Linked DNA regions of Oryzias latipes. The protein of the gene in region 2 purifies or fractionates together with the protein of the main gene of each other region. This does not show direct contact. Links are inferred from orthologs where the notes say so. Each region holds a gene or a part of one and is shown on either strand. Other genes may lie near its edges.

Region 1 (4,790 bases), on a different chromosome or scaffold from region 2:
CAGGCCTGCAAAGCCATTAACGCCGACTTTATCTTACTTCATGTGCCTGCTCCACATATCGCATGGCCAACAGAGAAAGCTTGATTACCCATTTATCCAAACATGTTACCACATATATAAGTAAGTGCTTTGTTGTTTATTTCAAGTCTGTTCATAAGTCACTGAAATAAAACTTTCTGTGCGTTAACAGGAGGAGAGTCAGAGCATGCTGCACAATGGAGCTGCTGCCACCAAAGAAACAATCACTGTAACTTCTAACTCTATTTTTTTAACCTTTAAAATATGGATAAACATTTGTGTTTAAAATAAAACTAAAACCTCTGCATTGATTTAAAAAAAAACTTCCCCCCCAGAAACCAACTGAAGCTGCAAAGGAAGCTGAGGTTTTTGAAGGATCTGGAACGGAGCCAAAACGCAAACCACCTCAGTTGAGAAACAGCAAATAGACAAACCACAACCTTGCAAATTATTGCAGCTAGCATGTACTCTTGATAAATCAAAGTAGATCTTTCAACAAGTAAAAAAAAATTGTATGTATATATATATATATATATATATATATATATATATATATATATATATATATGTATGAAATGATCAATGTATGAAATGTTATTTTGAAGCAAAAACATTAAGAAACCTGATTGCAAGAATTAGTGTGTGCAATGAGAGCTGGAGATGTCTGCATTTAGTCTGAAAATATAACGCCTTTTTTCAGAATACCTGAAAATAGACTATTATTTTTTCTAACTAAAATAGATTTTAGTTTTTTAAATTTTTTTCTTAATCTAGAGAGACATGATCCATGTCCATTGTTATTGTGTGTACCTGAAACTGATTCAAACACAAGTTATCTCGAACTTCTTTTATTCAAACTTGTGATGTTTTTTCTTAATATCTGTTATTCAATTCACAAGTGATCCATTTAGTTTCTGCGTCTGTCTTCTTTAATGACTATTCTATTTCTCTGAGCATTTTATAAAATAAAATTGCTTTGTGAACAACTACAGGCAGCTAAAGGAATTTTTGTGTGTTTTCCTGTCACATGCTGATCATGAGCTTGTCGTTGCTTTCTCCACACATTACACTCTATGATAACAAACAGGAACACAGAGATTTAATTTTTTATTGAGTATTGAGATTTTGTCTAAACAAGGATACTGGACCTTTTGAGTTCTTGAAATCTGATCTTGGGGTGAGGGGGGAGGGTGTTCCGTACTTCAAAATGTAATTTTTAAGACTGTCTATACTACACTGAATTAAATGTTTTATTTTTATTATTTTTAAATCCAGTAAACAATTACTACTTTACATCTGTTAGGGGTAGAAAGAAGAATGGTTGATCAAATAATTATATTTCTCTGCAAAAGTGTCTGTTTGAACAAGCCCAATAACGTTTTTATGTTATGAATTATTTTTTATCTTTACCACATCTCAGTTTTTGTAACCATACAACCATTTGAAACGGAGTTTCTTGAAATTAGTCAATCTTGAACAATAATTCTCACTGTTTGGTATTTCCCGTTTCCGACGACCCTGAAGGCAGCATTTCAAACGACAGCACTAGCTGTTACGGCGGAGAAATAACTATCGAGAAACAGCGGCGGTGTCGTTAAAACACAATAATCTTCATCATGTAAGTCTATAAACCTGTTTTCGTAGCTTTTGAAATATTTTCAACCTAATGTGTGTCGTGTTACCGTTTATGAAACGCCGAAAAGAGAACGCCCTAAACTTTGCTCCTAGCATGCAACAAGTGCTAAATAGGTTAGCTCGTTTTTTCTCTTCTGAAAGTAATGAAAGCTAAGCTAGCGTTAGCAGTCGCGCGCTGTTGCTACTTAAAAGTCAATTTTTGGGAAAACTTTCATCGTTTTTTTAGGTGGTTAAGAACTTATTAAACTTCTTTTATTCAAACTTGTGATGTTTTTTCTTAATATCTGTTATTCAATTCACAAGTGATCCATTTAGTTTCTGCGTCTGTCTTCTTTAATGACTATTCTATTTCTCTGAGCATTTTATAAAATAAAATTGCTTTGTGAACAACTACAGGCAGCTAAAGGAATTTTTGTGTGTTTTCCTGTCACATGCTGATCATGAGCTTGTCGTTGCTTTCTCCACACATTACACTCTATGATAACAAACAGGAACACAGAGATTTAATTTTTTATTGAGTATTGAGATTTTGTCTAAACAAGGATACTGGACCTTTTGAGTTCTTGAAATCTGATCTTGGGGTGAGGGGGGAGGGTGTTCCGTACTTCAAAATGTAATTTTTAAGACTGTCTATACTACACTGAATTAAATGTTTTATTTTTATTATTTTTAAATCCAGTAAACAATTACTACTTTACATCTGTTAGGGGTAGAAAGAAGAATGGTTGATCAAATAATTATATTTCTCTGCAAAAGTGTCTGTTTGAACAAGCCCAATAACGTTTTTATGTTATGAATTATTTTTTATCTTTACCACATCTCAGTTTTTGTAACCATACAACCATTTGAAACGGAGTTTCTTGAAATTAGTCAATCTTGAACAATAATTCTCACTGTTTGGTATTTCCCGTTTCCGACGACCCTGAAGGCAGCATTTCAAACGACAGCACTAGCTGTTACGGCGGAGAAATAACTATCGAGAAACAGCGGCGGTGTCGTTAAAACACAATAATCTTCATCATGTAAGTCTATAAACCTGTTTTCGTAGCTTTTGAAATATTTTCAACCTAATGTGTGTCGTGTTACCGTTTATGAAACGCCGAAAAGAGAACGCCCTAAACTTTGCTCCTAGCATGCAACAAGTGCTAAATAGGTTAGCTCGTTTTTTCTCTTCTGAAGGTAATGAAAGCTAAGCTAGCGTTAGCAGTCGCGCGCTGTTGCTACTTAAAAGTCAATTTTTGGGAAAACTTTCATCGTTTTTTTTAGGTGGTTAAGAACTTATTTAAAATTTCAAAATATATAATGAAGGACTATCTGTTAAGTACGGTCAAGTTTATGTTTCTGTTGAACCGGTCTGTCTGTCTGAAGTCGGCCTCGCTTCTTCTAGTTAGCTGCCCATATTATATAGTTTAACAACGCAATATCAATATCACATACATTCATAATATGCGGATTACTGCTAGTTTGGAGTGACAACAACACAATATCTTGCTCTCTTTGTTTGTTTGTTTGGTTTTTTAATGTACCATTTTTTATTTTTAATAATATAACATCACCGATGTCTACTATAAAAAGCATAAATATAGGAGCATAATAATTAGGATAAGGTTTGATGAAAGTCAGACTTGTTTGACATATTCATGAACAGAGTTGGGGAACGGTGACTGACATTCAAATTTAATTTAATTTCAGCAGTAGAAATTCTCTGGAAGGAGATTTAACTAAAATACAACTTTTTTTGTAAGTTAATATTAACTTTGGATGATGACCTCAATAATTATTATTATTATTATTTTTTCTATAAAAGATGAAACGGAGCGTTTTTTAAACTGTTGCTTGTTTAGAAAAAACAAATATGAGGGACATATTATTTAAATAATTGTTCGTTTATCTGTTTATTTAACAGGGATATTGTGCATTAAAAAACATCATAAAGCTATTATTCATCAGTAGTCCTTGGACTGGTACCAACCTTGTCTTCCTTAAAACTATGTGAAATTTCCAGCAAAAATACAACATGAACAAAAAGTAGAATTATAGTATATAACAAGCTTGCAAAAGAGTAAAAATGCAATATAAATAAATAAAAAAGAGCAGTATAAACAATATGTAAAAACTAAATACAAATATAATAGAACAGTAGGAATTGATAAACATCTTAAGTGGTAACAATACAATGATAATTTAAAACCAGGAGAGACAATCACAAGCACTATACAATCATAAAAACATTGTTTCTAACTTGTTGACATTTATGATGGCATGGTTTGATTGAAGAAGGTAAACAGGCATTATTTGTGGGAGCGTCTTGAACCAGTTCTTAAGATGTTTTTGAAACAAATTTTGTGACGACAGTTTGATTGAGTTCTATTCCTCTTGTGTCTTTTCCTTTATTTTTGTGTTTACATTTTATTTGTTTGACGACTGTATCTTTTAGATAAACCAGTATATTTTGTCATGAAATAATCCCATATCATTATCAAATCTTGTCTGGTTTTAAGAGCTCTCCCGTGTTTGTGGAGCTTTTTTGTTACTTAAAAGAATAATACCCTTTACACTGATTATTGTTTGTATCTGAACAACCAAGTATTAAAAAGAATATCCTCCCAAAAGATCTCTTTGCTTGTGGAGGTGTTTGCTTTACACTAAACGTTCTTTAAAATGCTGTATTTCTACAAATCACTTAACCAATGTAAATATTTTAAGTACAATTAAACTGTAAAAACCTAATCTTTCACTAAATTATTTCCTGAAGAGATAGTTCTTGCAGCAATGCTCAATTCATGACTGATGTGCTGGTTTCTTAAACACTCATGACCTCAGATTAAAATTCTCCAAACATTGAAACTCTATTTCTCCTATCTGATAATTTCAGAGGAACCCTTAAAGCAACAGTTTCAAGTTATTTCTCTTCTGTTTAAAAAAAAAAGTGGTTCAACAGTGGGCCACATCAAGAAATAATTTTTAAAAGCTGTTATCAGTAAAACAACCAAAATGTTTGACAAAAAAGTCTTGTTCCTGGAAAAGGATGAGTTCAGACGTTTTTGTAGTTTCAAGAAAAACTTTAGTTTTTTCTTTAAATTGCACAGATTTGCTTTTTTTTTAGATTCATTAGTGGATTTTTAGAAAAAAGCTTC
Region 2 (4,627 bases):
TCGAAAAATGCGGAAGTGTGAAAAAGGTCTATTACCACAGGCACCACTGTCACCTTCACTTTCCAGGCTTTCTCCAGTTCTTCTCTGAGTCTCTGGTATTTCTCCAGTTTCTCATGTTCCTTCTTCCTGATGTTCCCATCACTTGGCACTGCCACATCCACCACAACGGCTTTCCTCTGTTCTTTATCCACCACTACAATGTCTGGTTGGTTCGCCATTACCATCCTGTCAGTCAGTATCTGGAAGTCCCACAGGATCTTTGCCCTTTCATTCTCTATCACCTTCAGAGGTGTTTCTCTTTTTGACTTTGAGGTTTCCAGTTCATATTCTGCACACGTGTTTCTGTATATTATTCCAGCCACTTGATAATGGCACTCCATGTATGTTTTCCCTTGCAGCATCTTCAACCCCGCAGTTATGGTGTAAATGGCGTACACTTACAGTATATAGCGCTTTTCTACCTACAAGGCCCAAAGCGGTTTACAAACACAGACCCATTCACACACTGGTGGCGGCAGATTTATAACTGTAAACAATAAATCCTTGTTTATTTCTGAATAATGGTGTGTGTTTTGTCTATGACTTGATGCGTACTGATGGAATGCTGTTATCATACAATGGGTTTGTAACTAAATACAAAATTAAGGATTCTAGTAACTGTTATAGCAAAGTCTGTTAAGCAATTACCATACCTTTACTTAATCTTATTCATAACATATTACAATACAATGCAATCAAACCACAATTTCCAGAATTAATGGAAAAGTTAATGATATTCCCCTAAAAGATAAAAAAGGCAACAATAAACTCTAACCTTTAAACAAATAATTTTCTGCAACTTTAGCATAAACAATGAACGCGACTTAGAAACCACCCTAATGGACAAATCTTTTTCTTTATACACAAAGTACCCACTTCCACCTAAAATGAAAGAAACGCATTTTAAAATAATATCTAAAATTTACCCTGTTGGAGATTTTTTACATAAAAGATTCAAATTTCAATCAGAACCACGCATATTCTGTTCATCTGAAACTGAAACGTAGAACATCTCTTTTACAGTTGCAAAAATATTTTGGACTGATATTCACAGTTGGTTGTCACTCAAAGTTTTAAATATTCCCTTTTTTTCCTTATCTGATGTTCTTTTCTATATGAAAAATCTGGACCCGGGAATTTCTTTTTTTTCTATATGCGCATTTATAACGTTTGTTCACCCTTACTTGGTCTGTATGAGCATTTAAAAAAAACAAAACAACAAAAAACAACGTCATACCGAAATGTCACATACCAGGAAGTCGAATGCTCAGTTTTGATTGGTGGCTCACTGGACCCGGGCACGCTACAGCGTTTTGATTGGTGGTTTGGTTTCAAATGCGTGACCTGATTGGTTGTCAGAGGAAGTAGGGCTCGGTGATCTCAGCTGAATCCGGAACCAAGCCCTGATCGAAGGGCGAGAATTTGTTTCTTCAGCTGAATCATATGCAAGTATAAAATAAACGTCAGTTACCTTGTTTCGTAGTTTCAAATGTCGATTAAACGCTATTTTAAATATGCAACGCAACGATTTCATCGTTTATAATCTAACGCTTAGAAGTTAGCACGTTTAGCTAACACGTTAGCATCGTTCCGCTACGTGTTGTTGGGAATGTCACTCTGTGATGTAAAATTCCGTTAGCAGAACGTCGCTCTGGTAACATTGTTGTGGTTATACTATCAATATGTTAACGTTGCGGCTTCATGTTTGTCTATAAGTCAACATCTGCTGGTTAGTTAAATAAGCGTACGGGTCTTATGGTGTGCGTCATGTCAAAAAAAAAAAGCAGCGAAATCCTAACAGTTCTGTATATACTTTACTAGTCTGTATTATAATTTTGTGTGATGATTTTAATAAATGTCAGCTTTTTAGTCTGTGCGTTTTAGTAAGTTTTGAAGCGTGATTGCATTCTCCCTCCGACCTACATTTGGAGTTTTAGATTGAATTATTCATGTTAAATAACAGTTTGTGGCCTTTTTCAAATTTCCTTTTCTTTTTTTGCATGCACAGTTTTAGCTCAACATCAAAGCCAAGCCTTCCGCCTCAAACATGTCCTACGGTAAAGCGGAGTTCCGCCCTGTCCCGAGGGACTTTGGCTCCCTTATTCAGACATGCAGCTCCAACATCCAGAAGATCACACAGAACAGTGAGTCCTCCATTGCTGGGAGCTGAGACTCATTGTTAGTCACTGGCTCAGGAAGAAGTCATGTGAGAATGCTTACAAGAATCGTGATGATCTGCTGCTTAACTCAGGCCTGTTCAGGGGGGGAGATCCAGGTTAAGCAATCACATGGCTAATTCATCACAAGTGCTTCAGGAAAATACACTATTCTAAATGTTCAGGTTTGCTTCCTTTTTGAGATGTGTACAGTAAATAAGTGCTTACATTCTTTGGTACAAAACTCACAAATTAAGTTGCATTTTCTGCTGTCTATACAAGAATGGACACTAAACTATTTCTTAGCTCGTTTGCTTCTGCGGTTTGGATTGGTTTTTGTGTTTTTTTCTGTGTTGTTGTTTGATATCTGTGCACACAGATGATCCCTGAGTAAAGGTTTTGGAGATTAAGATTGTTTCTGTTTTCCTGACAGCCGCACAGATTAAGACCATGGTGAACCAGCAAGGGACAAGGCAAGACTCCAGTGAACTTCACGATCGTCTGTATGTCATCATTTCTTGTTTCATTTTTTTCTACCAGTTTTAATGAAAACACAGGCAGATGGAGGTTTTCTAGCTGGTTAACATCTGATGCAAATATCAGTGTTATCTTTGTTGGTAATAACCTCCTAATGAGGCTGAATATGAGACCAACACTGATGCAATTATTCAATAAGGCACCCTGACTTATGTTTAAGACAATATGAAAAAAAAAACTAACACAGCCAGTTTGCTTTACATGCATTTCTTGCACACACTGTTGTTAATCATATGTATTGAGAAGTAAAACCTTTAAAATTGTTATAATTCAGGCTTTTTGGTGACAAAATTTGGTTTCAGCTACAAAACCTACATCTACTGACCCAGGAGTCCTCCTGCTTTGCACATTTAAGTGATGCTGTGAGACCAGGAAGAGGTTAAATGACTGTTGCTGGTGGTTGTGGAGTAAACTTCAATAATCTCTTTTGTCTTCTGCGACTAAATGAATGTGTCACACTTTTTGATGGCGTGTTTTCACTTTGCAAAGAATTTTAAAATTTTGATTTATTTCAGAGCTGGTAGAAAAGCTCTATTATTTGATTTAAAAAAAAATACTAAGAAAATTAAAAATTTCAAGCTTTATTTGAATTGAATTGACAATAAAAGCAATTTACAGATGCATTAACAGTAGTGCATTACACATTGAGTGTGCTTTAGTGTGGAGCAGAATGGCTGGGACTGTAATAGCCTGAATCTGGGAAGCAGCTTCTTCTTGTGGCTGATGTTCAGTCCTGTTTTTATTGATGCACAGTTTTCTCTGCAGGCAGCAGATCCAGCACTACACTAACCAGCTTGCGAAGGAAACCAACAAACACCTTAAAGAACTAGGCTCTGTCCCTGCGCCTCTATCCCCCTCTGAACAGGTAAGTGGGAGTTTGTTGAAACGTCTGCATGAAGACCAAATCCTGAGTTTTTACCAAAACTGTCTCCCCTGACTGCAGTATTCCAAACACGGTGTGCAGCAGTACTTCAAAGTATTTTTGCAGCAGAAAGGTTTAACTGGAGGGAGATGGTTTGCTGTTGTGACCTCTGAAGTGATCAGATATTAGTAAAAGAAGGCGATTCTTGTAGTTGAGATTTGCTAATTTTTTGTTTTGTAAATTTTAAGCAGGAGATGAAAGCCGAGTTTATGTATAAACGATACAGAGGAAGCAGGGATTTTTCCTGAAAATCTTTAGGAAAAAATAGGAGTTAAGTTACAATGTTGCTGCTTGAATGTTGGAAAGTGATTGTCAGGATTGAACTTTAAAATCTTAACCGTTATCTAAATGCTTTTTTAAAAAGTGTCTCCTAATGTGCTTTGGGTGCTCTGCTCTGTCCAGAGGCAGCAGAAGATTCAGAGAGACCGGCTCATGAGTGATTTCTCTGCGGCGCTCAACAACTTCCAGGCGGTTCAGCGACACGCAGCCGAGAAAGAGCGGGAGTCCATAGCCAGAGCCAGAGCGGGATCCCGCCTCTCAGTGAGTGAGACTCAGGAATGGATTCACACAACACCAGGAAAAGTGTGGAAAACAACCACAATATTCCTTATTTTTCCTTTTACCTGTTAATCATCAGCATTTTTTCTCCTACTTAGGATTTTAATTGTCCTATTTTGAAAAGTCCCATAACTTATCTGATGATTCATCTAATCCAAATCCAGTTGTGTATTATTGTGACTATTTGAAGTCATGAAAGGTAGAAAAATCTTGTTTTATCAGAGCTGTAAAAATTTTAACATCCACAAATGAAATGAAAAGTTTAGACATGCTGTGATTTAGCAGTTTGGGGTGAAGACAATGGTTTTGTTTGTAGGAACAGTCTAAATGACATAAAACCACCCGTGTTTCTTAAGGGATGTTGTTTCTTCAACCTGCTGACTTAACTGGAGTCTTTGTGTTCTGTTTCCAGAAT
Region 3 (3,939 bases), on a different chromosome or scaffold from region 2:
TATAAGTGAATCTTGAAACATTTTAGTGGGTTTGTTGCTGAAAAAAATACAATTGAGAGCCATATTCCTCCTACAACAGTGTTTACATACATTAATTTGTACTCCATGAATATTGTTTCTCTGTTTTAGTGATCTTTGAGACTATGGACGTTTAACTTTTTTATTTTAATATAAATTACAAAAAACAAAAATCAGTTGTTTAGTAGGGACTTGTGGGACTATAATATATATATTTTTAACGTTTAAGTACATTTTAGTTCACAAATCTTAAGTAAACACTGCTTGTTTTAAAATACTGCCCCCTAGTGGGGATAAAAGACATCGCAGGATTTTGACCAAGTAAACAATGACATGTAGTAACACACTAAAATATAAGCTCAGTTTTATCAAATAAAACATGATTTTGGTTTCTTTTTAAGTAATATAAATTAACAAAAAATGTTTATATACGAGTAAAAGGGATTTTCTTATGAACAGACACTTCATCTTCCACGTGAAGTCTGCAGCCGGGCGGTGGAGAAAGCTAGCATTAGCTTCTTCGATGTGTTATTATATATTTCACCTACACAAACTTTAACCAATATACAGTTAAGTATCTAAATAACTGATCAAACAAAACGACATTTTCTTATTTTACCATTTCCAGTTTGGGTTTCTTCTCGCCATCCCCGGCCATGCTTTTCACGTCGCTCGCACTGCAAAGTATGAGCTTTGTGTTTCTTCCCCTTTATTTTTGACTTACAGGCTGAAAATGAAAGTGTCGCCATGCTGTTATTATTCATTAATAACTGAACCCGCTTGGTTGGACATTTATTCCGACTACAACCCTAAGAATAAATGTTTTATTTAGTCTGCCATAAAGAGATATGTCGATTTGAAGTGATGACACAAATAAATTTTGTTAAACATAGACATACAAAACATGCAATTAAGAAAAGATAAACGGATCGAACTTAAATTAGGTTGGTGATGAAGTACTACCTTTCACTGCGCTAAAAAGTAACATTCCTTAACATTTAATTTGCAAATGCATTCAATTTAGCGTGTAATCGTAGCCTTTAAGGCTAAACTGAGGGGAATTCCTAAACAGTTGCTCTTACGCATGAAAACATATGACGAAGACACATCGTCATTTGTAGTTTAGGGAAGTGTAGTTCAGAATGGTAGAAGAGCAGCATTCACTGTGAAAGAAATTGCAAAAAAGAACTACATTACCCAGCGTTGGTCAGTGTGTGCTTCCGGTCCAAAGGATCCGCAAAGCAGAAGTCACTCGAAAGGGATTAGCTAGCTTGCTAGCAGCTGACACATTATAAATGTGGGAAAATAATTAGCTCGTTTGAGTGGCGCTGACACGTTAAGGTATCGTTTTGTTTTGTTTTTTTGCAACAACGTTTAACTTACAAACAAAAACTTGAACTGACACTTTGATTAACATTTTGGTCTTTTCGTTGACGCCACCACTGTTCCGTGTTTATTTCAACATTACTTACTACGCTAGCTTGCTGCCGAATCAGTCTTTGTTTTTCCCAATGATTTATACCACAATAACACGCATAGGGATGTTGGGTGTAATCGTTTTTAGTATTTTTTTGTCTACAATACACAATTTTTTTCCTTTTCTTTCTAACTCATCTTAACGGAATTCCGGTGGGAGGGAGGGAAGGCGGGTGGGGGCATTTTTGTTTTACCTGAGCTCCACCTACCAAAAAACAACAACAACAAAAAGCTTATTCCTTTCCTTGTTTATTTGACAGAAAACTAACGTAGCGGAGAACCCAGCTGTGTTACCATGGCAATCCTGTTTGCTGTGGTGGCTCGTGGAACCACGATTTTGGCCAAACATGCTTGGTGCGGGGGCAACTTCCTGGAAGTCACAGAACAAATTTTAGCCAAAATCCCCTCAGAGAATAACAAACTGACCTACAGCCACGGCAGGTACGGTCCAGTTTGCTCCTTCATCTCAATAATTGTCATTATTTTGCCCACAATCAGGGCTAGTTTCTGGGAACGTGTAACTGATGGTGTTTCTATTTTGTTTTCAGTTACCTCTTTCATTACATCTGCCATGACAGAATCATATACTTGTGCATCACTGATGATGTGAGTATCTTTGGACTTTTTATTTTGTTTTGATGTTCAGCAATAGTTGGGAAGGATGTGACACTGGCACAAAGCTTTAAATACGTGTAGTTGCATTTATCGTGATTGAATGTTTTCTGTTAAAGGACTTTGAAAGATCTCGTGCATTTACCTTTCTTGGCGAAGTCAAGAAGCGCTTCCAGACGACGTATGGCTCCAGAGCTCAAACCGCCCTTCCCTACGCCATGAACAGTGAATTCTCCTCAACGCTGGCGGCTCAGATGGTGGGTTGAGCGTGACAGATTTCCTTAGAATGCCATATGACTTTTTTTAGAAGAAGAAAAAGACTTTTGCTTTAGTCATAACCAGAAAAGCAAACTTCTTCTATTTTTTTTCCTATTTCTTTTGGTTTTAGTTTCGTTTTTCCCCCAGAGTAGTTAAAAACGTCCTTTTTCTTTAAAAAAAACCCTTTTCATGTCAATTTCAGCTTTGTATAGTCAACATATTGACAAATGGGTTTCAACTTCCTTCTCTACAATCGTGGCATGTACAAAAAGATCAGCAGATGGTCACATGACCACTCTGGCATTTTAAGTACGTTTTAAAGTCAACCTTTGTCTGCTGCATTTGAATCTGTATCATTTGAATTATATCTGAACATTTTCCTGACCTGTGCAGCATAGAGATACAATTATCTGTCTTTATTAAGAATTTTCATGGAAGTGCTGTTTTAGGGATGTTTGGTATTTGAGGACAGACAAATATCTGAACCTCTAATGTATTATTAGCAAGGGTTTTCCAGTGTTAGTGTTAAAAAAAACATTGTCCTTTATTTTCCACCAAATATCGAAGTGATATGGTCGAAGGAGTAAAAAGTTTTTTTTTGTTTTTAAAGGAAAAATGAGTGCAGATTTTCAGTGTTCCTGTGGGGTGTAGGTACCATAACCATTCGGCCTGCAATAACCGTTCGGGGTCCTTCGAAGAGTGCTGACGTCACATTATGTGATTGGATGTCTGTTGGTCCGATCACGTGCAGTTTTTAAACTGTTGCAGTGAAATAGAAATGATGTTTTAGGTTGTTTTGCTCTTTGTTCATACACCACAAGTTATATCGTCATCGCAATATCAGATAGTGATTGGTCTGGATAAATTACGATACTAACATAGAAGAAGATATTATGCGGTCCGTTGTAAACATACAGAGCTCCGACACAGAGAAAGATTATCTTCTAAACGTGCTTTTGGTAATATTATGATTAGGCCTGCACAATATATCGCAAATTTATCGTTATCGCAATATCAAGCTGTGCAATATGCATATTGCAAAAGACGGCGAAGATCGCAATAAATGGTTACCTTAAGTATGCTAAAACAATCTGATGGCAGTATTTAACGAAGCAAAAATAATCCCTTTTATGTTTTTGACCAATCGGATGGAGCCCTTTTGTGTTAGATGTTCGTCTCCTATGTAGATGTTGGTCATTTGCAATGCAGTTTTTAAACTGTTGCAGTGAAATAGAAATGATGTTTTTGGTTGTTTTCCTACACCCCAAGTTACATCGTCACCGCAATATTAAGTTTTCCTCATGACATGTAGCCCTAAATATTATTATTATTAACTGCATTGCAGCTGAACAGACTGCGTTCTGAACTCTTCTCCGGACCGCACACTATAACAAAGCAGCTTCCCAGCCTGCGAACACGAAGCTACGAGACTCCAGCTGCTCTGCTCAGAGACACGGTTCACTCGTGTGGAGCAGCAGGTTCATTCTAACAGCCACAGATCTTTTTACAAAGTGGCTTGTGGCAAAATATCTCTGTAAATATTACAGAGAATAATCTCAGACACATCTTATGAGG
Region 4 (4,573 bases), on a different chromosome or scaffold from region 2:
GAAAAGGCAGAGCTGCTGAGCCTTGCTGCCACACACCAGTAACCATGATGATTAATTTGATTGTCACTTTTGTTATTTTGTTGTCTTGTTTGCTGCTGCAGACAAAAGAATGTCCCCATCGTGAGATAAATAACGGCTTGTCTTGTTTAGGAATGCACAAAAAATAAACCCTCTTTAATACAATATTTCAAATTTTAAAATGTTTGATATATTTGACAGTCCTCACCAGATTATAAACTTGATGGTGCCAGCCACTTGGCACAAACATGATTTCCCCAGCCTCCTGAATGATTTCAAGAGGCTGGCAGGCTTCTTCAAAGCGCGGGAAAAGACCGCTGTCACGGAGCTCAGCCGATGTAACGTCATAGGGTAAGTTGCCGTGCGTGTCTCGTAAAAAGTCCTCCTGACCCGGAGGATACAGGAGCCACTTCTTTCTGCCGCAGATGTTTGCAGACCAGCTGTAGGAGCGGAACACATCGGCGTGGAACGGGGTCCTGGTGAAAACAAAACTCAACGTAAGAAAAACACGCCTGACTGACGCAAATTCTACTGAGACTTTGTTGGATTTCTTCCTACCACGACCCTTTAGGGCCCATATAGACGAACCGATAGTCATCTACTTCAAGTGTATCCCAGTATTCATTAAGCCAGTCAGAGGAGAAGAATACTGGTGTTGAATAAACACCATGTTCAGGAAAGTCTCTGTTGGACATTTTTAATGATTAATGCAGATCGTTTGTATAGAATCACATACATCAGCAATTCTCAATGTAAAACTGAGACACAGGATACCTTGCCATGTGCCAGTCTTTCAGATAAAGACATCCTTTCCGGGATGAGTGACCGTTCTGGACGTATTCCTTCCAATAGTGTATAAACTCTTTAAACTGCATCACTTGTTTGGGGTTTGCATTGTATTCCTTTGCATTACAGTTTGCAACAGGAACTAGAGTTTCATCTGATATTTCAAAACAGACAGGCATTAGCTGACATACACTATATATTCATGACGTCATCACAACAACAGTCTTAATTAATTTACCAAAGTCTTGGAGCAATTTTTGAAAACTCGGCTTCCCCTCCTCTGTTACCCACTGCTGTCTGCACTTCCAGTTGTCTGTGAACTTTCTCGAAAACACGCAGGGCCGGTTGGGCAGTAAATATTTCTTTAAAAATTTCGAATAGTTGATGTCCTTATCGATGTAGTCTACGAAGTGTGAGGACCAGAACTGCTCATAGGACTGCCGGGGGATGCTGACCAGGCTGCTGCAGTAACGGTACGCCTCTCTGTCCATGATGGTAAACAAAAGCTCGGCTAGCTAGTTAGCAAGCCCGGCTGGCATGTTAGAGCATGGAACTGAGATAAAGCATCAAGACTGGGTTGTCATCAGTAAATATAATATATGTTTTGAAATCTAATATGTAATCACAGTGAAGTGAAACCTAAAAAATAAATAATCAATGGTTTTACTAAACGCTATTCCACTCGTGTCTTCCATTATTACAAGTCGCCATAAAATTACCGCGTTTCCTTGCGTCACTAATAGATCGATTATTTCATTTCCGTCATGCTTATGACGCAAACATCTGTTCATTTACCGCAAATTAGCGCCCTGTTTTGAGCAATTATTGTGTCCATAGCCTTGTCGTGCGCGAGTTCAATTTTCTAGTCGGACAATAAACACAGCCGTGCTAGATCGTGACGTCACTTCCGTAGCAAATAGGATCTGGGCAGGAAATAAAACACATGTTCCCATCCAGTGTTTACGGTTGATATTTTGTAAAAAGGTTTACATTTAGCAAATGAAAAAACATTGAAACATTGCTGTTTTCGAATAGTTTATTTCCCTGTGCGTGACGACTAAGTTAAGGCGTTATCTGAGGTCCTCTTCTGACGGGATTACACACGGAAAGAAGGATGTTTACACTCCAACCACTGAAGTGGATTGACTAGATTATCATACGTCGTAAATTTATTTGGGATTTTTTTTTCTTTTTTAGTTTAATTTTGTACTAAAATGAGTCGAGATTTCCCCATCCACAACTGGCCTGGCTCCTACTACATCAACAGTGAGAAGAGGTGGGAGACCGGCACCCTGTCCCTCACCAGAACCACGGTGCGCTTCGTCTCCAGCCAGAACGGGGAGAATCTGGCTAGTTTCCGTCTGTCCCGGATCACGGAAATCAAGATGGAATCTTCCAGCTTCATCTTCAGCACCCTTACAGTGCTGGAGGAAGGCAACACCAAGCACTGGTTTGGTTCCCTACAGCCCAACAGGGTTGTAGTCTATAACGTGTTGGTGCATTTCTGGAGGGAGCGCCTGCTGTCGCCTGGCTCTGAGAGCCAAGGGGCTGAACCCCATCCCACTAAAGGCAGAGAGCTCATCAGTCTGATGGCCGGGGCTCAAAGAAGACTGGAGGACACGGGTCAAGTCCTCAGCCATCAGGGAGAGCAGTTTGACAGCATGATGCAGGGGCTGGAGAAGATTGACTCGGACTTAGGAGTGGCTGATAAGTAATTAATTCAAAACATCTGTTTTATTGATTTGTTTTCTTCCCTTGTGAAGTGATTTATTTATTTATTTTTGCAAGCACGTTTTGTTTTCTTTGAATATAACGTGACTTGTCTTTCAGACTCCTCTCACAACTCGAGGTGCCCTCGTGGTGGCCTTTCGGAAAGCTTCCCTGGAAGGCCGCACAGGAGGCCAAGGCTGAAGATGCTGCAAGAGCAGCAGCTGTGGCGTCCTCAAGCGGGACGTCGACCAAGAACAAGGTGATCGCGAGCATCCCGGCAGTGGTGTCCAGAGGCGGAGATTCGGACTTCAAACCTGGATGTTTGCTGGTGCTGGTGTCCTCCATGGAGGTACGGGACACCAACTGCCACCTCCTTCACCGATATGAACGGAACGAAGTTGATGAAATCAAGGTGTACAGTCCATATGAGATTACTGTTCGACAACGGTTCATCGGAAAACCAGATATATGTCACCGGTTCCTTTCTGCTAAAATGCCAGAAGCAATGTCCGTGTTGGAGATGCAGTACAAGAAAAAGGTTGAATTCACAAAAGAATACACATCATTCAAAGCAACTCCTCTGTCATCTCCATGCGATAAAGAAGGGACAAGCTTGAATGACGGTAAGGCACTTTTTTATCGTAAAGTCTAAAGCTGTGGATATTTTGACCACTAGGTGGCAGCAGAGATTTTTTATTTTTTTATTCTAAAGTCTAAAGCTGTGGATATCTTGACCACTAGGTGGCAGCAGAGATCTTTTCTTTTTTTTTCTTTTTTTTTAAACTGCAAAGGTGCTGCCACATGTAAAAACATTTCGTCATCTTTGTTAGTGTTTTTCTTTAAACGTGTTTAGATGATTCACTTCAGCCCAATTGCCTCACTTGTTGAGTTGAATGTCTGGTTTCCTCACAAACAACACATGCACTCTGCATTTTCTTCATCACCTCCACCCATGGAGTCAGTTTTTCTGCAGAGGTGCCAAGAGACTGAGGTCCCAGTGGAGGTCCCAGCAGGAGAGCTGTCCCAATTGCAGGTGCATGTTCTCCAGCCATCTGTGAGTCAGGCTGAGGCCCAAGAACTCAAGCAGGTAAGACAGTTCTCGATGGGTCCACAATGTACAGCAGCATCAGGTAACAAATGAAAGTGTCCTTGGTTGTTATTGTAAATAATCTCTTTGGTTCGCCCAAACTCTGTTTTTTCCAAACCCACAATTTGATTTTCCTTTTTTTTTGATGCCGTATGTTTAAAATGTTATTTGGTGAGACCACAAACCAGCGACCAATCTGGTTTTAAGAGAGGAAAAGCGACAGGGTGAGTTATTTGGTCAGACTTTACTGCACCTTTCCAGCTAGAACCTCACAACTGGGAGAGTAGTTACAGACACAGTCTGTGGTGGCAAGACCTGCGCAGTGACGCAAATGAGATTCTAAGTATTTTTTAGATATAATTGTGACTCATGCGGCACACGTGCGGAAGAATGCCACCCAAATGCCCGGTTAATGCCACCCAAACGTATTTTTTTAAGGCAGAGCAAATCATTTTGAAGTGTAGAAGAGCTCAATTCTCTGGATAAACTGAGTTTTATACGTTTTGCAAATAAATTCTTTTGTTTATTTTACACACACAAGCCCATATTATGTCAATCCCTCATATTAAACACTAAAAAATGTATTTGACCAGTTTGTTTGAGAGAAAACTTTACATTTCTGTGAAAAGTGCCGTGTTTTAAGACAAGCTTTGCAAATACTGTGTCTGCTGGAATAAATGAATGTAACCCAAATTCAGTTTAATGGAATTATTATCAATATTTAACATGTCGTAGTCGCATTTTCACATGATGGAGGACGCATAAAAAATCCTTTTGGATTAAAACTGCGTTTATGAGTATTTCTTAGGAGATAACAAGCCACTGATGTGACGCAGCAACTTAAATGAGCACAAAGTCCCTGCTTCGCTCTGTTCTGATGCATTCACTTGCAGTCAAATAGATCCGTAAACGTCTTCATTCTCCACGTCTGAGCTGGCTTAAGTCACCTCAAAGGCAAGTTTCTGATGAACT
Region 5 (4,172 bases), on a different chromosome or scaffold from region 2:
CAGGACTCTTCCTGCACTCTGAGTGGCGGCGGCGGCGCCGGCAGCAGCAGCGGCGTACCTGTCGCAGGGGCAGGTGCAGAGGCCGCAGCACTTGTTCAGGTCGTTGAGGTTTTTCTCGGCCTGCTTCATGTCCTCGTTGATCTGCTCCATGCCCTCCTCTACTCTTTTGAGCTGCTCTGAATCACAAACACACTTCAACATCTTCATCTCTGCTGTTGGAAACAGCTTGCAGAGCAAAAATGGATCCAGTTTTTGTGTCATCAGAGCTAAAAGCTAAAAGAAATTCAGTTCAGAAACACGTCTAAAGCTAAAGGAACCAATGAGCGTTTCTACTTTTGTTGTAAAGTATGTTTCTGAATTCTAGTGAATATATATATATTTTTTTAAACAAAATGGTCAGGAAGCAGACCCTGAAATCCTGAGATCTGCTTCCAGGATCAAAGAGCAAAAACTTTGAAGTGAAGAAGAGGAAGATTCTGTTCAGGACCGTCTCTATTCTCCAACATGATAAACAAATGTTTATGCTGCGTTACCTCCTTGCATATCAAGCATATCCAGAGTTTTGCCCCCAGTCTCTTGGCTCTATAAAATAAAAAATGAACAATCCTTCAGAGATGATTTAGAGTAAAGACATTTGATTTGAAATTTGAAATAACAAATATGAATAGGCATAACATTTTTCCAATTACGTTCATCGCTTTAAGTGTCATAAAGGTTGAGAGGATAAAACTGAACTCTATATTTATTTGATGAAAGGAGAAACAAAAGACGCCAACTTGTCCACCATGAGTGACTTCTGCTCATAGAGAAGCAGCAGCAGCAGCAGCCTCACCTCCTCCGCCAGCTGCCTCATCCTCCGGGTGCTTTCCAGCGACTGCAGGAGAAAACATGGCAGCAGTTTGAAAGAGAGAAAAAGGATCACCAGCTAAACGGGATTCTGTGCTACATAAAAGAATCAAACATAAACTGCAGCTGGAGTCCAGCCGCAGCTCTCAGTCGTCTTTGTCAAAAACAAAAACGCATCTAATCCTTCCAAGCTGAAACGCTTCTGACTGGATGTAAACAGACACTCAAACGTAGTTATTCTTTTAACTCTTTGCTTTATTTACTGAGATATTTGATTTTTATTTGAAGGTAAAGAGGTGATTAAATAGATTGAGTTAAAATAAAGGAAATGAACAACAAAACAAAGTATTTACAAAGTAAGTAAGTATTTACAAAGTATTTAGTACAAAGTATCATTTAATTTGAACAAAGCCCAATTCAAAATGCTGTTTAAAAAAAGAAAAGGTTGATTTTTGCATTTTGACAGTTTATGAACATTCAGAACTTGTTTTATTAAATTATAAGCATTTATTTATTCATCTATAAAAATATGTTTCCTAAAATATACAACATATTAAAAGTATTTTTAAAGAACAAAAAACCTGAAGTAAACAAAAAATATCTGTTTTAAAATTATTTAACAACATCAGAGCTAGAGGGGGGAAAACAATAAATGATATCAACAAAGAGAATCAACGTCAAGTAATCAGATCCAAAAATATGTCCTCATTTCAAACAAGTTCTTTTGTTTTTATTGTGTGTACAAAAAATAAACGATCACTTAGTTTTTAATGTAAAAACTCAACTTCATTAATGAAAATTGTTCTTTTATTTCATTTATATAAATAGTTCTGTGAAATTTGTTTTCTTTTATAATCAAAATCAAATTGGTTTCAAATAATTGACAGTAAAAACGGTATTGAACTGAATCATGAACTGTAAAATAGAATTTAATATTTTCTCTGAGAGTCTCAGGAAATTCATCCGTTTCATTTACAAATGAATAAAAATGAGACTGGGCCTCGTCAACTTCAGTTATTTATAAAGAAAAAAACAGCAACTGCATCTAAGAGTACAAATAAAAGTTCAGTCCTACTTTTCTTTTTACTTTAAAACGGAGAATAAAAGTCAACTTCCTGTAATAAAACCTGTTCAGAAATGTTTACAGATTTAAAGTAAAAAATGGTTCAACTTTTGCATAAATAAGACCTGTTACTTCAGGCTTTTCTCCTATTTGACACGTTTGACATAAGAAGAAATGAGTAACAAACTGAATAAATGATGAAAAATACTAAGCAAATGGTTGATTGTTTTGAATTAGACCAGAGTTTTATGGAAATGTCTTTCCAGAGCAGACGTTCATGGATCTCTGACTGTCAGCCTAAAGCCTGACGACCGCAGCGCACATGCAGGAATGCGGTCAGGTCAGGTGGGCCCCGCCCTTCTGCGCCTCTTATTGTTAGGAAGCAGAGCGAAGCTGCGACTCCGACCGAGAGTCTGTGACCTCCTTTACTTGAACTCAGACAAATCACAGCTTAAAACGACAGTTTGTTAAAAAAAAAGATGTTAGTTGACTGTCAGAGAAGAAAAGAAGAAAATGATGGCTGCAGCTCAACAGGATGAATCACATGTTTTAACTTTAGAACTAGACAGAAAATGTTGGCCACTTGGTTTTTTACATTTGAGCTCCAGCTGCCATTTATCTGAGATTGTCCTGATAAACTGTCAGCCATGGTCAGAGCGTCTCCGAGTGTTTACCCAAAGCACGAGCGGTAAGTGGAATTAGCAGAGGGGCCCTCCCAGGTCCCCTGAATGATCTCCTGAATAAACCAGGCGGCAGCAGAAAGAGGGAAGAGATAGAAGCAAAGGTGCAGGTTAAGTCAGGAAGCAGACAAACATCAACCAGTGTGAGCTGCATGAAGGTGCAGAGCAACAGCTGACTGACGGCGGGATGCCCTCGAGTGCCGATTCAGTAATTACTGGAAGATGACGGATCGCAGAGGGAGCCGTCAGACTGAAGCAGGAAGAATCCCTCCGACGCGTCCTGTAACCTCCATCCATTTATCAGACGCTGAGTGGAAGCGATGTCTCAACACGGGTTCTTTTAGGCTCTTTCTAAAAGGCTAAAACATTTTAGATGTCGATTCTCCCTCACCGATAACAGGATTACAGAAACTATTGTCCAACCTGAACATATAGGAAAAGTCTTTCCCAGTTATCCTTATCGAAGATAAATGAGTTCATTATTAAATACGACATCCATTAGGCTGAACAGACTGAACTAATGAGATAATCATGTGTTAATAATGAGCGTCAGAGTTTGGGGTTCGTCTATCTTCCACACTTCTAAGCTGCTGAAACATTCATTTTTGGAGAAAATCTCTGAGTTTTGCTTCAGAGATGAAGGTCACGTCTCGGCGCCCCCACCAGAAAAGCCTTTGATGCAGCTCGTTTAGACGGACTGCAGGAGTTTGAGACCTGAACTCCTGTTCTTTATGCAGCTTTGGCCGTTGGATGCAACGGCTGACCACAGAGATCGTGTAAGGTGACAGAGAGCAACGCTTTGTTTAAACCGTTTACCCTCAGTTACATTAGAAACTTCTAAAAACATTGAAAAAAATGTCGCTTTTAACAATAAAAATGATATTTTACGGCGTTTCTAATCCAAACGGAATGATTTCCAACCGCTTTTTGCATTCATGCATCATCTAAACATTAAGATTGAATGAAAAATCAGACTCAGCTGTCACAGGCTGCTCATTAAATACAGAAATCTGTAGCCAGAGAGAAACAGAAGAAACAGAGGGACGGAGCAGGAGCAGGAGTGTGAGGAGTCAGCACCTCATCCGTCAGCTGGTTGGCCCTCAGAGCCATCTGTTCCACACTCATGTCCTCCATGTTGCTGCTGTCTTGTTTGGGGGCTCCTCCCGTGGCACCGAGCTCAATATGCTGAGGCCTGAAAGAAGGCCAGAGGTCATCAGGTACTAATTAGTATCCCATCGATTACCATAAAGCAGACAAAGAGGACCAACTCTCAACTGCTGAGCAGGGGACTATGGGTGATGATGAAAAAAAAACAAGGTGAATGGATTGGACAAACATTTGAATTTAATGACGTTTTAATGGAAAATTTATTTGAATGACATGACTTAAAATTCAAAGCTCCAGAGAAAATAGTATAAACATTTCTGTTGAAAAACGTGTAGCTCCCAAATCCAGGCAATGTAAACAGGATGATAGTTAAATATAAAACCAAACTGTATAAAACAAATCCTCATTTAACAAATATAAAACGGCTTATAAACGCTACAGTAACAGATTCTAAACTGCTAGGTTTGTTTCCTCAC
Region 6 (4,172 bases), on a different chromosome or scaffold from region 2:
GGACACTCTACCACAAGTCCACTGAGCTGCATAAAGACGTTTATGGACTAAAAAAACACAAGTTCAATAATCACAATCATTGCTATATATGATATGATATTATTTGCTTTAGGACATTTTAAAAGGGAAAAAAAAAGATAAATCCTGGAATAGTCGTCATGCCCTAATACCAACCCAGTGCAACCCTGTTCCCTCTCAGAGGAGCACATATTCAGTTTCAGATAACTATTACACATATTGAGAAATACACACCCAGAAACTTTTGTTATGTAAAAAGACTTGTTTTTTTTCATTTTAATATTTACAGATGTACCACAGATTATTTAGTTTCTGCATAAAACAAAGACACGTATGTGGGGAGGTGGTGTTTCCTTAACTTCCAATTCAGGCTTTTTCATGCTGCAAAGTGAGTATTTGTTTTTTTTCATATCCCTCCTCTGACATTGAACACACACACACATATATACCAGTGACGTGCGGTGAGGTTAATGGCTGGTGAGGCACTGACGTCATCAGTCAGATTTACAAACATATGAACCATGAGTATAAATAACTGAGTAACTTATTCACCATTTGATTGACAACAGTTAACGTTTTGTTTAAAATATAATTTCAACATGTTTTTTTTTCATATACAAACTGCAGCATAGAAAAAAGCACAAACGTTATTATCGTCTTACCTTTAGTTGTAAATAAAGTCCATACGCCGCTCCTTCTGAAGAAAATGACTTGCCGCTTGCTATCACTTCTTCTAGTATTTTTAGCGTCATAATCTCAGGGCTCACCGGCGCCCCCTAACATGAGGCACGAGAACTGCAACATGAGGCACGAGAATGTCTGGCCTCACCCAGCGGCTTTTTCGCCGTCGTTTAGCGCTCAGCACAAGAAACACGTCCCTCACATACAGTTATTTATAAAAACAAGCACTGTGCATCATATACATCTGCTAAATTATTTAAACTCAGCTCATATAGTACAAGTGATTGAACCGACATACAGAGAGACAGCAGTACCGTCTGACTGCATAGGTATTGCGCAATCCAAGGTGAGGCTCAGCGGGCTGGTGCCTCATCGCAGGTCACTTAGTATCTGAACGGCAAATGCGGGAATTCAGCGATTTTGAAAAGAAAAAACACCCAAAAATGGTACATTTAAATGGAAAATGACCGCAAAGCACAACTTACTGATTAAATATAATAATTGAATTTATTTTTTCTCTTTTCTTCCCATAATGACAGGTGAGGCTGTGCCTCACCTGCCTCTCCTGACTGCACGTCACTGATATATACATAAAAGGAAAACTTCAATGTTTATTTTAAGTGCTCCTCTTTTTCCAGAGCTATTGAACAAGCAGGCATGATGCTGAAGGTGAGTGAATGCTGGGAAAGCCTTAACAACCCCGCGGTGCGTTCGCTGTCCCGTTGTAATTCCCCCTCATTTCTGCTGCAACAGGAACAAAAGAAGATGCCGGAAGCCATTCAGTACATAGAGAAGGCATGCATGATGTACATGGAGAACGGGACTCCCGATACTGCTGCCATGGCTCTGGACCGCGCTGGAAAGTAAAAAAGAAACCTTTTTTTTGTTGGCATGAGTGGAATGCTTGAATACTCAGCAGAAGTTTAGTTATTGTTAACGTGGAAATAACCAAACTGTTGCTCGTCAGACTTTAGTGAAAAAAGGAACCCTCAGTTGACTTTGGAACTTAAAATTAGTCTTCCCTTTCAGACTGATTGAGCCTATTAACCTGGAGAAAGCTGTTGACCTGTACCAAAAAGCAGCTGGAGTGTTCGAGGTAAGAACAGCTCAAGAACTGCATCAGCTCTCTGATTATGTTTTGCATCCTCATACCTGCTTGTTTTGTGTCCAGAATGAGGACCGCCTGCGTCAGGCTGTGGAGCTGCTGGGGAAAGCCTCCAGACTTCTGGTTCGGTTAAAAAGGTCAAACAAACCAGAGCCAAGGAGATTTTGGCTTTTTCTTCCTTCTTGTAAATAATCATTGCAGAATAACCCTGGTCTGCTTGTGCTTTGGTTTTGTCTGGTAAACCAGGCTGGACGAGGCTGCAACCGCTCTGCAGAAGGAGAAGAACATGTACAAAGAGATTGAGAACTTCCCGATGTGTTTCAAGGTGCAGCAACTCCTTGTTTTGCTATTTCCTTCCCTCTTCTCTTGGCTATTGTTGTCTCAGAAATGTCTCGCAATACATTCACAACTGAGATTCAAGGATTTAGCTCAAGAAAGGATTGGAATGTGTTATCAAATTATTAGCGAGTTTTTGAAAGCAGGGAGCAACACATCGCATTGTTCTACGTCAGCTGGTCAGTCAGCATTGAAATGTCTAAATCAGATCCGTCTTAACCCTTGTGCTATCTTGTGGGGTCCAGATGACCCCAGTGGGGTCATCTGGACCCCACAAGATAGCAAAAGGGTTAAACATCAGAGCTTCAAAACTACTGGTTGAAGCAAGTCCTGATTTTGATAAACATTCTATGCTTTCAGAAAACACGTATAACAATTTCAGAATCATGCGATCCTGATCACAGACCAGTGCAGAGATGAATCTAAAGAAAAAAACGAGGCGTACCTGCTGAACCTGTGTTTCCCCCCCTCTGTAGAAAACCACGGCTCAAGTGCTGGTTCACCTTCACAGAGGGGACTATGTGGCAGCAGATAAATGCGTCAGAGAAAGTTACAGGTACGACTCCAGACGTTCATGGACGTCTGGTTCATGTTGACTTTTCTTCACGTTCGTGTGTGATCCTGTTGAAACTTAACTGGACTCCTGCTTTAATATCCCCCAGTCTGCCTGGCTATAGTGGAAGTGAAGACTGCGTTGCCATGGAGACACTGCTACAAGGCTTTGATGAGCAGGATGAAGACCAAGTTTATCGCGTGTGCAACTCTCCATTGCTGAAGTATATGGATAATGATGTAAGTTTTGATGATACATTTTTCTTAAATAAGCATGAAGATATTGTCTTTTTTTGTTCTATAGGACGTCTTATTACGATATTACAAGGTTTATACATTTTCTACAGTTCCATCCTAATTATGATCCATCCTTTTTCCCAGTCTGCCTTTGATTTTCAGATGAGAAACGTTCACAAATGAGAACAGTTTCTCTATTTGGTGTCATTTTGAGCCGTGTGACTGTTTTCTTTCCTACGTGAACAGCAGCTATGAGCTGCCATCTGCATCAGTGCCAGAAAACTTTGAAGCTGCTGCTTTTCCTGTCAAAGTTTCCATGTTAGGTGTCTTTCCAACAGAGAAAAAGCTGCTCCTCCCCTGCAGCTTCTTGATGCTGCCCTCACTTTATAACCTACATCTGTTAGGTTGTGTCCAAATTCCCACCCTAACCCCTAACTACTAAAAAACTAGATGTTGTGACCTGAATTTTAAAAGCAATTTGGACACCATGCTCACTTTTTTATGTATGGAAGTTTTTCTGGAGCATAATTAAAAATAAAAGTCAAAACCAGAAATGCTTTTTCATTTTCAAAATGAAGCTGCATTTTTTGACTCAAAATTAAAATGAAAAAGCAATCCACCTAAATGCTTTTTCATTTTCTTCTTCAACATTGATTATTCTGTCACTTAATTAAAACGATAAAGAAAATGGTGTTTGACATTTAATTTTCAAAAAGTTCTCTGGTAAATGTGTAGCAAAATTCATTTAGAAATGTCTAATTTGACAATTAAAATGCATTAACGGAAATGCTTTTCCATTTTCAAAATGTAGCTGCATCAAATGACTCAAAATTAAAATGAAAAATCAATTCTTCAAATTGCTTTTTCCTTATCTACTTAAAAAACGCTTATTTTGTTTCATAATTAAAACGAAAATGCAAAGAGGGGATTATATTTTCATTTTCACATCCACCCCGCAAAAAGTGTAGCATAAGTCAATACCAGTCAGCATTTCTAGGGGGGGGCGGGGCGATGACGTCAGTGCTCACTCGGTGTGGCTAAATGCTCTTCGCGAGCAAAGCATGTCTGATCAGTGCAGCCGGACTCTTCCTGTTTTTGTGAAGGGAAGTGAAGGGTGCTTTGTAATGTACAACGCTCCGGAGGACGATTCAGACCTCAGTCCGTCTGACTGTGTCTCCCGTGGAAACAGAGTCTCTGAGCAGAGGAGTAGCTTTGAGGCGGCTTTTGAAGGCAGTCCTGAGAA
Region 7 (4,172 bases), on a different chromosome or scaffold from region 2:
TGTTCAGTCGTTGGTTCAGAGAACAGTGTTGCTGCAAACGGTGCATTGTCAGTTCCATCAGACATTGCCAGTGTTTCTCCAGCAGGTGTGCTCCTCACAATTCTGTTCACTCTCTTTGAGGGGGAGCGGTGAAAACTTTCCACGTTCTCCCATTAGAACTATCAGGTTTCCTTCTTGAGTGGCTCCATCTGAAAGATTGCCAAATGAGGCATCACTGAACACCCTCATCTTGAGGGCTGAGTCCCTGCCTAGAAGCTCAAAGTTCAGAGCCACCTCACTGGATTTCAGTTTGCACACCGTTCTATTCGTTTCATGGATTTAAAGCATCAAACAAGACTTTTGGTCGACTCTGCCTTGCAACCCAGAGAATTTGTCCAATCTTGGGCGTGAGCAGATCTTTTTCTTTTGCTGACAGAGATGAGTCTTGCTGTACTCAGCAAGCACAGCATCCAAGAGACACTAAATCTATTCACACATAACAAAATGCTCATACTGCATCCGGAAGATCCCTCTTGTATGTACACATTTGAGTATACCGCTGTTCAAAATCAATTATCTAATCCGTCACGGATACATTACTGTCTCTCGTTATCCAAACTTGAGTAGGTCCGGTCTTTGTTCTTTGAGAAACCGATCATCTAGCTTTATTAGTGACGTGTCCTGTGTCCTTGAGCAAATCCTCCTTTGATATTTCTATCGCCACGTCTCTCGCTTGCCCAGAAGAAAGCGCCAAAGGAACGGAGAGTGCTTGCTTCTTCTTTTCAAGGTCTGTAACTCGGGTCCAACTTATTTTTTCCAACTTTTGTACGGTTTTCCTTCGTCAAAGGTTTGTAGGACTCTGTAGTTGCTAATCATCCCCTGCTACCAATGTTAAACAAAATTGAAATTCACTTCGCAGCGTAACGTTTTCTTTATTCATTCCACCATCATCAACACAACAACGACCCATCCCATCCAACCGGCCCTTTCACAATAAGAACATGATGTGCAATTACCATAAAACAAGAAATTTGTTATTTAACAGTTCCTGTCTTTATAGCTTAACAACTAGAATTTGGCAAAGAAGGACCAAAACCAGATTTTGATGAGCCCTTTTTCCACAACGGCATCGTGAGAGGGGCAAAATTGTAATTATTTTTCCCTTATTTGATTGTGGCAACAATTTAACTTTGTGGCTCCTTCTAACATCTGCTGTGTAATACACATATAGTACCGAAGTTGACCTGTTTATATGCTGTTGAAGTGAGCTTCTGTTACAGCTGTTATCTGGTAAGTCTTGAAGCTCTCAGCAACACATTGAGTCCTTCATTTCTAAATGAACCGAATCATGCTACCTTTTACCTGAACCAGGTGTGTTTATTCAATCAGAATGTGGAAGCACCTGACTGAGTTAACCAAGCAGGGATTAGAGATGTAGAAAACTGGGTTTTCTAGACGGGGTGGTAGGACGACCAGGAGTGAGCAGCACTGATCAAGACCCCTAGACTGTGACTGAACTCCTTCACTGCTCTCTACACAGTGCACTTTCTGTAGTGCTGGGCAAATCTACTATTCCAAAATCTGGAAGACTTCAATGCATTGCATTTGAACGACTTGTTATTTTTAATTAAAAAAAGTATTTACATTTATTTTTTTATAATTAATCCACAATTTCACCATCACAACACAGCAGATTCATAAACGGTCAGCCATTATCAGGTGTTGACGTTGGCAAATGGGTGATGTCATATTTGGCATTAATGTGTTTAAAGGGTCAGCTTGTGGTTCTTACTCAGCCTGTTCGTCCAGCTCCACGCCGATTCTTTCAGACATGTTCTTGAGAACGTTGATGGACCCAGACACCAGTTCCAGCTGTTCGTCCTGCTGCTCTGCGATCAGCTGAAACACACACACCAGCGTTTGGTCTGGGCTCAGCATCACCTCCATGCCCCCATCTGTTCTCGGTCCGTCTGTACCTGCTGCTGCACCTGTGCCTCCTCAATGAACTGACTGTTGGCGCTCTGCAGCTGATGGTCAAGACGGCGGTATTTGTCTGAACCGGGCTGCCATATGCGTCCTTGAGCTCCACGCTCACCGAGCAAAGCCTGAACACAAAAGAAAAGCATACAGTGGAGCAACAGAAGTGTTCAATCAGCCATTAAATGTGTGGGTTCAGAGGCCTGTAATTGCCTTCAAATGTAAACTTCAACTATGAGAGACAAAACAGGGGAGAGATATCAGGGATAAAGTCTGTAGTGAGGAGTTTTACTGCCTTCAAGCATCTGTGCTTATTGTAAAAAATAGATCCCCCACTTTGTGGATGACAACTATAGCAGGGGATTGTAACTCGCGCTATAAACGAGGGAGCGCTGTACTGGAGTTTAGGACAAAGTTTCATGATGTCATCCTCTGTCAAAGGTAGCATTTGTCTAACCAGGAGAGAGACTTGGTACCTGTTTGCTCTTCCCGTCCAAGGAAGCCGTTCCTGGAGACGACATCTGCTCCTTCATCTCCTAGAAAAGAAACGGCAGACTATGTCACGAAGTGAAGACGTCACATACATGGATTTATGGTTCATTACAGAAAACTTGGTCATGGCGTCTCACTCTTATAACAACAGCGATGAACCAGAACTAAAAAAATGTATTTTATGAAAAAAAAGTTGGATATAATTATATGGCACTCTGTGTAAACAGGTTTTTAAATTTTGATCAGAAATAAGAAGTTCTCTTTGTCCTCTCATGTCACTTAAGAATATCTTATAGTAAAGCTTGGATTCAAAGTGATGAAAGTTTTTGTTTGAAGTTTAAAAACCCTCAAAACTATTGACTGTTTAGGAGAACAGGAGTGAGAAGTGTGTCGTCATCTACAGAAAATGGGTTACTTCCTTCTGTTGACGTTTTTTCCCCAACACAAACGCCACCATGTTGGAACAGTATGCAGTGATTGGTCTGAGTCATCGTTTCTATGGTAACCACTCACACCAAACACTTAAACGTGAGCTACAGAAAATCTGTCAAACGTTCAACCTGGGGGCCAGCAGGCTCCTCCTACTTTTATTGAGGCATCTGATTGGTCCGTTTGTAACTTGAATAAGTTTAAATACAAAATACTAAATTTGGATTATCAAGAAGATGTTAAAAAAGGTATCAGATCCAGAATGGTTCTTCTGGCCAATAGGATGACTGAATAACAGCTGTTTAGTTCTCTATAGGCTCTATGGGACTTCCTGAAACCAGCGGGTACTTCCTGTTTGGAGCGCCAGGGGGGAGGAGTCCAAGACAACTGATCCGTGTTAAGAAAATAACTAATGGGGCATGTATGGTTAGATTTCTGATGTAAACTGTGCTATAGCACCCCCCCCCCCCCTCGTAAATCTGAAGCACTCCTGAAAAAGCTGCAGTTCCCCAGAACTAAATCAGCTTTCAGTTAAATATAGTGTTAAAATAAGACGTTAAAAATATATATTTACCGTCTTGTCTGAAAGATCTTTTGTGCTTTATTTTTTGTAAAATCACTGAAGTTGATTTTATGAAGGCCTTCCTTTCTGTATTGTTTTTTGTTTTTAGATGGACTCAACAAAACTCCCTCTTTACTCTGTCAGGCCCACCATTCAGACAGCTGTAACATGTTGTTTTGTTTAGAATAAGTATTCCTTGTTAGGGAATCGTGACACGTGACATTATCCCACTGATGTCTTTGCTGCTATTAAAAAACAAACCAAACCTTTCCAGACCAAATGTGTTCCTGTGGAGGGGATGCTTTCTAAAGGATAATCATTCATTATGTGTGCAAACAGCTGAACAGTAAAGATCATCTTTTTAGTTTAGGGGTCTGTTATGCTGCCCAGCGTCAGGCCACCATTCTCTCCAGATGTGATGAGTTCTACTTTTAAAATCTTTGAGGGCTGTACTTGGAGGAGCCATTGGTCTTCAACTATTTCAATGAACTACCAGACTGACCAAACCGAAGGGAACCAGACCACCGTGCTGCAGACGTTTGGGGTTCCTCCCAAAGCGAGTTCACATCTGAGGTGTGGCGGAGGCTTACCCTGACCATATGTCTGGTGCTGGTGATGAAGGCCTTCCTCTTTGACAGCTCCGCTGCATCCAGATTAAACTTCTTTGGGTTTGACTCTACTATGCGTTTGCAATGTGTTAAGGAACATGCTTTCTCTGTGCTGAGCTCCAATC

The links.
Region 1: the proteins of stx12 (region 2) and vamp3 purify together in Homo sapiens (affinity purification with mass spectrometry; 3 studies listed by BioGRID and IntAct, counting the BioPlex papers as one, with this or other methods). This does not show direct contact. The link is inferred for Oryzias latipes from reciprocal best matches to the Homo sapiens genes STX12 and VAMP3.
Region 3: the proteins of stx12 (region 2) and vamp7 purify together in Homo sapiens (affinity purification with mass spectrometry; 3 studies listed by BioGRID and IntAct, counting the BioPlex papers as one, with this or other methods). This does not show direct contact. The link is inferred for Oryzias latipes from reciprocal best matches to the Homo sapiens genes STX12 and VAMP7.
Region 4: the proteins of stx12 (region 2) and snap47 purify together in Homo sapiens (co-immunoprecipitation; 3 studies listed by BioGRID and IntAct, counting the BioPlex papers as one, with this or other methods). This does not show direct contact. The link is inferred for Oryzias latipes from reciprocal best matches to the Homo sapiens genes STX12 and SNAP47.
Region 5: the proteins of stx12 (region 2) and snap23 purify together in Homo sapiens (affinity purification with mass spectrometry; 3 studies listed by BioGRID and IntAct, counting the BioPlex papers as one, with this or other methods). This does not show direct contact. The link is inferred for Oryzias latipes from reciprocal best matches to the Homo sapiens genes STX12 and SNAP23.
Region 6: the proteins of stx12 (region 2) and napg purify together in Homo sapiens (affinity purification with mass spectrometry; 3 studies listed by BioGRID and IntAct, counting the BioPlex papers as one, with this or other methods). This does not show direct contact. The link is inferred for Oryzias latipes from reciprocal best matches to the Homo sapiens genes STX12 and NAPG.
Region 7: the proteins of stx12 (region 2) and syntaxin-6 purify together in Homo sapiens (affinity purification with mass spectrometry; 4 studies listed by BioGRID and IntAct, counting the BioPlex papers as one, with this or other methods). This does not show direct contact. The link is inferred for Oryzias latipes from reciprocal best matches to the Homo sapiens genes STX12 and STX6.

The regions. Positions count from the first base shown.
Region 1 is NC_019863.2:28,591,353-28,596,142, forward strand, and holds the start of vamp3 (vesicle-associated membrane protein 3), read left to right. Parts: upstream 1-1,526; 5' UTR 1,527-1,634; coding exon 1,635-1,636; intron 1,637-2,546; exon of another isoform or gene 2,547-2,673; coding exon of another isoform or gene 2,674-2,675; intron 2,676-4,790. UniProt on the Homo sapiens protein: SNARE involved in vesicular transport from the late endosomes to the trans-Golgi network.
Region 2 is NC_019869.2:17,750,410-17,755,036, reverse strand, and holds the start of stx12 (syntaxin-12), read left to right. Parts: upstream 1-1,368; 5' UTR 1,369-1,484; exon of another isoform or gene 1,485-1,501; intron 1,502-2,047; 5' UTR 2,048-2,086; coding exon 2,087-2,183; intron 2,184-2,628; coding exon 2,629-2,698; intron 2,699-3,497; coding exon 3,498-3,597; intron 3,598-4,056; coding exon 4,057-4,194; intron 4,195-4,624; coding exon 4,625-4,627. UniProt on the Homo sapiens protein: SNARE promoting fusion of transport vesicles with target membranes. Together with SNARE STX6, promotes movement of vesicles from endosomes to the cell membrane, and may therefore function in the endocytic recycling pathway.
Region 3 is NC_019868.2:26,863,141-26,867,079, reverse strand, and holds the start of vamp7 (vesicle-associated membrane protein 7), read left to right. Parts: upstream 1-1,139; 5' UTR 1,140-1,359; intron 1,360-1,754; 5' UTR 1,755-1,789; coding exon 1,790-1,935; intron 1,936-2,042; coding exon 2,043-2,100; intron 2,101-2,225; coding exon 2,226-2,363; intron 2,364-3,939. Other genes in the region: DNA-directed RNA polymerases I and III subunit RPAC2, read right to left, coding at 638-676. UniProt on the Homo sapiens protein: Involved in the targeting and/or fusion of transport vesicles to their target membrane during transport of proteins from the early endosome to the lysosome. Required for heterotypic fusion of late endosomes with lysosomes and homotypic lysosomal fusion.
Region 4 is NC_019875.2:28,044,661-28,049,233, reverse strand, and holds the start of snap47 (synaptosomal-associated protein 47), read left to right. Parts: upstream 1-1,667; intron 1,668-2,001; 5' UTR 2,002-2,018; coding exon 2,019-2,515; intron 2,516-2,634; coding exon 2,635-3,137; intron 3,138-3,476; coding exon 3,477-3,601; intron 3,602-4,573. Other genes in the region: jmjd4 (jmjC domain-containing protein 4), read right to left, coding at 227-494, 577-702, 793-958, 1,043-1,295. UniProt on the Homo sapiens protein: Plays a role in intracellular membrane fusion.
Region 5 is NC_019880.2:4,943,356-4,947,527, forward strand, and holds part of snap23 (synaptosomal-associated protein 23), read right to left. Parts: intron 3,782-4,172; coding exon 3,667-3,781; intron 875-3,666; coding exon 833-874; intron 583-832; coding exon 534-582; intron 177-533; coding exon 59-176; intron 1-58. UniProt on the Homo sapiens protein: Essential component of the high affinity receptor for the general membrane fusion machinery and an important regulator of transport vesicle docking and fusion.
Region 6 is NC_019875.2:4,617,971-4,622,142, reverse strand, and holds part of napg (gamma-soluble NSF attachment protein), read left to right. Parts: intron 1-388; coding exon 389-406; intron 407-1,337; coding exon 1,338-1,368; intron 1,369-1,452; coding exon 1,453-1,562; intron 1,563-1,728; coding exon 1,729-1,795; intron 1,796-1,870; coding exon 1,871-1,941; intron 1,942-2,050; coding exon 2,051-2,129; intron 2,130-2,616; coding exon 2,617-2,696; intron 2,697-2,802; coding exon 2,803-2,932; intron 2,933-4,172. UniProt on the Homo sapiens protein: Required for vesicular transport between the endoplasmic reticulum and the Golgi apparatus.
Region 7 is NC_019862.2:1,649,608-1,653,779, reverse strand, and holds part of syntaxin-6, read right to left. Parts: intron 4,125-4,172; coding exon 4,030-4,124; intron 2,493-4,029; coding exon 2,433-2,492; intron 2,085-2,432; coding exon 1,956-2,084; intron 1,879-1,955; coding exon 1,772-1,878; intron 1,766-1,771; exon of another isoform or gene 1-1,765. UniProt on the Homo sapiens protein: SNARE promoting movement of transport vesicles to target membranes. Targets endosomes to the trans-Golgi network, and may therefore function in retrograde trafficking.